Regions from separate parts of the Mus musculus genome. Here region 1 is reported to be linked to region 2. The links are microRNA targets in miRTarBase. Many come from high-throughput screens and were not tested one by one. Region 2 holds a microRNA gene; the other region holds the end of a gene's coding sequence.

Region 1 (3,406 bases), not on the chromosome of region 2:
CCTGGGGAGATGCTACACACATATCTATTCACCCCAGATAGGGATCCCATGACAGACCAAAGTACAGGTACCACTGAAGTTCAACTTGGTGAACCAATGAGTTTTACTGTGGTTACTTACAGGAATATGGGTGAGAGGTTACATACAGGAAAAGTACTGACAACAGCAGCTGCATCACCAAAGCCCATTCCAGCATGGGTGAGAACTAAATGTCTTCCAGGCTGCTAAGCTGACCTCTGCTTTTTCCAGGCAATTGATCTGGTCTCAGGGTTTTCTTTGCAGCTTGTCTTGTATGAGAGTGACTCTCAAAAGTCCTGTTTACTCTTGAAGGAGGGGCCTAGTGAATCTGGTCAGTTTTGGGGACTTCCTGAAGCTCGTTTGAGTTGTTTAACTTCTGTTAAAGAGCTTCCCTGCATGATGGAGTTTCTCAATCTAGAGGGAAACTATCAAACAATAGCTACCGCTTTTTGAGTTGTTGCTCAATGGGGTGACATAGACTTCCAAGTAGTATATAGACTATGGTCTATACTGTTATCCTCCAGAACTTGATAGTAAGATCCTATCACTAGTCACAACAGAACATGGAAAAATCAAGCTGGTACTCACCTGGGAGCTTTACCCCTATTGGCTAGTGTTCACAGTGCTAGAAGATGCTATGCATGTTGCCGGAGAAGAAAAGTCATCATCAATCTCACTTAGGTGTGAACCCTGCAAGCTACAAGAACTGGTTTGGCAAGATTTGCCCACTGGGGCAATAAGAGCATGGTATGGGAGCCGTCAATCACTTTCTGATAGGATCTGAGGCTATTCCATGAGAATTGGACCCATACCCAGCATTGTTCAAGTAGCCAAGAATCTGTGGCTAGATAGACCAGAGGCCTTAGGGAAGAATCAATTACTGTTATTCTGTTAGATAGACACAGTAAAAAATGACTTCAAATCACGTTGCTAACATGTAATATAGATCAGTACATCTCTCACCTCTCATCAGAGAAGCATGTCTCAATAGATGGCACTTCACAGAGAAATACTCGACTGATTAACATGCAAAGAATATGAGACTGGAGTGCTCAGTCCTAATACCCCTGAACAAAATGTTCAGGGATCTTTGAAAAAAGGATCAGATGAAATACTATGAGAGCTAGATATGGCTGATCATACCAAAGAAACTGTTCTCAGACAGAATGGGACAGACATATATGAGTTAATAGCAATTGTGACAGACTCCGGAAGACCTGTACAAGCTCTAACCAGACAAAAATGCCAGCACAAAGGGACAAAGGTAGACATGGAATTCTATGGCTAGCTGGGAAGCTACTGGCATTTGCTAGTTGCTGGCAGAGGAAAAGGCAGTTTTCTTTAATGATGTGGTTGACCATATAACAGGGCAGGCCCCACTCCCATGACCAGCTGGGCAACACATACTGGGCTTGATGGGTAAAGAAAAAAAAATGAAACCTCAAAATTGTTTGGCAACATATGGTGGGTGGAGAGGCAATAATAGGAGGACTTAGGAGTGATGAATATGTTCAAAATACATGTACAAAATTTTCAATGGGCAAAAGCAGAGACAAACCTTTTGGCTAAATTTCAGAGTCCCAGTAAACTTGATTTTGGCAGTTTTCTCTCCCCAGATACTCGTATTTGGAAGGGTCTGGCCTCCCCACAGCCTTCTAATAACACCATGTTATGTTTCTAAGTTCAATTACTTTGTTAACATTAAAAAAAATTTTTTTTTGTTTATGTATATACACACATGTGCTTGTATCACAGTGTGTGTGTGTGTGTGTGTGTGTGTGTGTGTGTGTGTAGAAGTCAGAAGACAACTTCTGGGAGTTGGTTCTCTCCTTTCACCATGGGCAGCCCAGGGATCAAACTTAGGTGGCAAGGGCCTGTACTTGCTAAGCTGTCTTATGGGTCTTTTTGTTAGCGTGTTCATTTGTTTGATAGTGTGAAGTTTGTTTGTTTCTGAAAGGATATACACAAGAGACATACACCTAGAAATGTAGTTTTGAAAAAATCAATAAAATGATTTTATTTCATATATGCAAAGTGAAAATCTCTTTGATCACTTACATTTTTACAAATAAAAACAACAATACTGCTCCATATAAACTTCTGTATAAACTTCAAAGAAAATATACATATTATTTTTCCTTTTGGTGCTTCCAAAGCACAAAAATGTACAAGTCCACCTGAAAGCTTTCTGTTGTCACATGCAAGAACAGATGTCAGAGGTTAGTGCAGCCTCAGATACACTTTGTAATGGTCCTAGTCAAAGTGGAAGAGCACTCGAGGTAGATTGTTTGCTGACTCCCCCTGCCCTTTCCCAGAGAGAATTAAGTTACCGAAATAGCAGCTTTTTACTCTTTGATTCCAACGATCCTGAATATTGCATGGTTTAAAAGGCACAGCTAGAAATCTTTGAAGAGTTCTTTGAGCACAAGATCACCACGTGGACTCTCTCTGCTTTCGTGTTCTTTAGCACACAATGAGGACAGTAGGTAGTGCTCGCCTTGGAAGTGGCCAGTCCCTATTCACTCTGAAACCGCCTGGAATGGCAAGGTCCAAAATGAGTGAACTCTACTAGCTGTAGTAGGAGCAGCAGTGCTCTGTGATTCAGCATCTCTTTTCCTAATTGGAAAAAATAAACAACGAAATGAAAAAAATATTCTCAATAATTCTTAAGGCAAAAGCCCAGATTTTACTTCCAGATAATCGTTAAAAGCTCAAGTCAACTCCTTTCTCATAGCCTGAGTTAGGTCGCTCTGTCACTCAAACATACTATAGGGCTTCAGTAACGTCCCATTGCATTTGAAAGCACATAAAAGGTGTTCTTTTTCCTCACTTGGCTTGGCATTAACATGATGATCTGCTGTTGATGTGATTCACATTGTTAAGAAGGTGGTGGGAATCGATTTTTTCTAGTACCTTCTCAAGGTACTGAATTAAGACTCTTCTTTTAAACCTGAAGAGAAAAAGAGAGTAAGCATAAGTGTCATAGACAACTTTACAGAGTGCCAGGTGTTATGTAGCCTGCAGGCCAAAGGGAGCAGAAGTCATCCTCATGGAAAGAGCAGGGCTGAGCAAGGGGACATGCCAATCTGATGAGCGCACATACACATTAGCTAGAACCCATGAGTCAGGACTCTGGTAGCATCCATCAGAACACTGCAGGAAGCACCCTTACCTATGAGTAGAACAAGTGCTTTCAAAGAGAGAAAGAGAGAGAGAGAGAGAGAGAGAGAGAGAGAGAGAGAGAGAGAGAGAGAGAGAGAGAGAGAGACTTTATCCTTCATTGGATCCTACTACTAAATTAAAACAAAGACAAATAGAACCCAAAGCAATTAGAAAGCCTATACAAGTGCTGTTTATACCGACCTTGCAGCTTCCTTGATGGTAAATT
Region 2 (3,406 bases):
ATTCCGGGACAGCCAGGGCTACACAGAGAAACCCTGTCTTGAACTCCCCCCCCCCAAAAAAAACGAAACAAAGCATTAAACTTAGTGCTTCCATGTAGCTCAGCTGATAGAAATGCTTGCCTAGCGATACTACATAAACCAGATGTGGTGCTACATGCCTTCAATCCCAGAACACACACAGTTTTACTGCTGTGAACAGACACCATGACCAAGGCAACTTTTTTTTTATTAGATATTTTCTTCATTTACATTTCAAATGCTATCCCAAAAGTCCCCTATACCCTCCCCTCTGCCCTGCTCCCCTACCCACCCACTCCCATTTCTTGGCCCTGTCGTTCCCCTGTACTGAGGCATATAAAGTTTGCAAGACCAAGGGGCTTCTCTTCCCAATGATGGCTGACTAGGCCATCTTCTGCTACATATGCAGCTAGAGACACGAGCTCCGGGGGTACTGGTTAGTTCATATTGTTGTTCCACTTATAGGGTTGCAGACCCCTTCAGCCCCTTGGGTACTTTCTCTAGCTCCTCCATTGGGGGCCTCCACAGGGAGCATCCACTTCTGTATTTGCCAGGCACTGTCATGGCCTCACAAGAGACAGCTATATCAGGGTACTGTAGCAAAATCTTGCTGGCGTATGCAATAGTGTCTGTGTTTGGTGACTGATTATGGGACGCCCCCCCCCCCAAGGCAACTCTTAATCAGGACAACATTTAATTGGGGTTGGCTTAACAGATTCAGAAGTTCAGTCCATTTTCATCAAGGCAGGAGCACGGCAGCTTCTAGGCGGGCATGGTGCAGGAAGGGGAGCTGAGAGTCCTACAATTTATTCCGAAGGCAAACAGAAGACTGGCTTCTGCTAGGAGGAGGGTCTTAAAGTCCACCCCCACAGTGACTCACTTCCTCCAACAAGGCCACACCACACCTACTCCAACAAAGGCCACACCTAAGCTAAGGACTTTCATCTGATGAGCCTGGAGCCAGGTGAATGGGAACTCCAGCTTAGCTCATCAGATCAAAGTCCTTAGCTTGGCAGAGGTTGTCTGGGAGCACAGTGGGGTCTTCTAGAGAAGGCTTAGGCTGGAGCTCTGTAGTCTCCCCCTCCCCCTCCCCTTCTTCCCCCTTCCTCCTGTTCCTCTTCTTTCTTCTTCTTCCTCCTCCTCTTCTTCCTCCTCCTCCTTCTTCTTCTGGTGCTTGGTGATCCAGGCCCTTGTGAAAAGGTCAGCATTCTACCAGGCCTTAATTCTTTCCTCACCACAGATCACACTGGCTACTTCTTTTTGCAAAAATATACAAAGCAACAAATGCCACAGGCCACCTTCCCTGCATCTATCCGAGGAGCGCACTGGCCTTCTCATTGTGCTCCTCCCTGCCTGACAGATTTGCCTTCTTAGACAAATCATCCAGTGTGCTTGGCTGCAGACAGCAACTGATGTACACAGATAGGGATTTAATATAATAGGGTCCCCAGCTCCAGGAAAGACACAAAATCGCGTTTGCCGTACTGCCCAGAAAAATGTCAACACACCAAGGGACTTTCCCAGTGAATATACCAGGGGCACCAGTCCCAACACAGCAGAGAGATCAGGTGGGTGTCCCCAGTTGAGTACAACTGTCCCTGAAGAGCCAGTGCTATACCCATGGTGCCCCCCAGAGACCTGCCACCTTCTATGTGGAAATACGTCTTCCCACATGGAAGTCCCATCAGCCTGTCAGCATGGGCGTGCTTGGTAGAAATGTCAGTACCTTGACTCCACGGGGGCCTCGGGAAAGGTGATGTTCAGGAAGACCTTCCTGCCCTGTTAGAACGGTGTCTGTTATTCCAGGTTAAGTGCTTTCTATTAGCTCTTGGGAAAGCATGCAAACTCTGGGGTCTGGCAACCTGAGAGTATGAAGAACTCCCTGTGCCCCCATACTGGAAGCCACATAGTCCCACATAGCTGGTGGAAGGAAAAAACAAACAAAACAAAAAAACAGTGGGATGCATGTCTCTAGCAGCTTTGGGGAGCCTCTGGGCCTGCCTGAGTTGGGTTTTTGGGTGCCTTGACCTCAGGCCCAGCCCTCTGGACCTTTCAGGGACCATGGCTTCTCCTCTCTTGGCATCCTCATAGCAATACTTCACAATTTCCTTTCCCCCGGCCTCCCTTGCCCCTGCTCTTCCCGCCTGCCTGTGAGCCAGGGTGGGGTGTGTGTGTGTGGGGGGTCCCTGATGGCCACTCTCCCCAACAGGCCTCCCTAAACCCCAGTAATCACAAGTTGGATGAGGACCTGTGCCAGACGCTCACACAGCGTTACGTGAGCATCATGAACAAGCTGCAGAGCTTAGGCTACAACGGGCGGGTGCACCCGGCACTGACAGAACAGCTGGTCAATGAGTACGGCATCCTGCGCGAGCGGCCTGAGCTGGCGGCATCTGAAGGTGGCTGCTACACGGTGGACTTCTTGCAGCGTGTGCTATTGGAAACCGTGCACCCCAGCAAGCTCACGGACGCCCTCCTGCTGCTCTCCTGCCTCCATCAGCTGTCCCACGATGACGGCAAACCTATGTTCATCTGGTAACACCCGGTGCCCGGCTGGCCCAGGCTCACTTCACCCTGTAGGCCATTGTGCATGGCCATTAAAGTTTCCCACAGACTCTGGTCACTGGGCCCAAGCCACACCTTCCTGCTCCAGTGGGGTGGGGTGGGGGGGCCACATTCACATTACAGCCTCCCTGGAGAGACAGAGCTCTCAGACACTGTCTTTCTAATGGGATTAAATGGAAGGTCCCAAATTCCCTTTTTACTTGGTAATGAAAACAGAAGTTCTGGGAGCGGAGGAAAAAAAAGAGGGAGTAGGATCAGGAACAGGGAAGGGATGATGCAGAAAGAAAGGATACTTCCCTGTTCTTAGCAAAGGGGTAGGGAGCCTCAGGGCCTTGGGGCAGGACAGTAGAGGTAAGAGAGCCAGATGCCACCTCATCCAAACCTGGGCAAGGGAGCCTGGGAGATGGCAGCCCCTTGTGAAGATGCCCAAGGTCTGAGAAAAGGATGGGTTCTGTCTAAGCATGGGGGACCAGAGCTGACCAGAGAATGAAAAACATGGGTTGGGGGGGATAGGGCGAGGGATTGTGGGAGGGGGGACCAGGAGCAGGGGGCATCTATGGGGATGTAAAATGAATAAATAAATGAAAAAAAAGGAACATGGGTTGGAAAAATTGGGGCCCTTGTGGGAGGGGGGTATTGAAATCAATGGGTAGGCTGAGATTGGAAACATCGTGGTGTTTCTAGAAGAGTGGAGACCAAAATGGGGTTGGTTCATGAGAAGGGCAGTGTGGAAAAGCCTGGAGTAGTTTCTGGCTTGCCTGAAGTTGCAGGCGCTAGGGCAGTGACAAGGCAGAAAGGAATAAAAGAACTAGGGACTTAGAAA

What was found. The annotated mature microRNA mmu-miR-3079-5p reads UUUGAUCUGAUGAGCUAAGCUGG and lies in region 2 at 996-1,018, opposite strand. An mRNA with a match to its seed (bases 2 to 7 or 8) in the 3' UTR can be bound and repressed. Matches are read on the target gene's strand: a 7mer-m8 pairs with bases 2 to 8, a 7mer-A1 pairs with bases 2 to 7 and ends in A, and an 8mer does both.
Region 1: the mRNA of Ints6l is a reported target of mmu-miR-3079-5p. Seed matches in the 3' UTR shown: 7mer-A1 at 2,064-2,070.

Annotation. Positions count from the first base shown.
Region 1 is chrX:56,506,442-56,509,847 of GRCm38, reverse strand. Ints6l (integrator complex subunit 6 like) reads right to left here. Exons shown (of 17, transcript NM_172779.4): 16 at 3,382-3,406; 17 at 2,005-2,968. The coding sequence ends at 2,860. Among named protein-coding and RNA genes, the nearest start is that of Gm648, 41 kb to the left of the region's middle.
Region 2 is chr15:76,289,937-76,293,342 of GRCm38, forward strand. Mir3079 (microRNA 3079) reads right to left here and starts at 1,032; the gene lies at 943-1,032. Spatc1 (spermatogenesis and centriole associated 1) reads left to right here. Exons shown (of 5, transcript NM_028852.1): 5 at 2,228-2,636. The coding sequence ends at 2,557.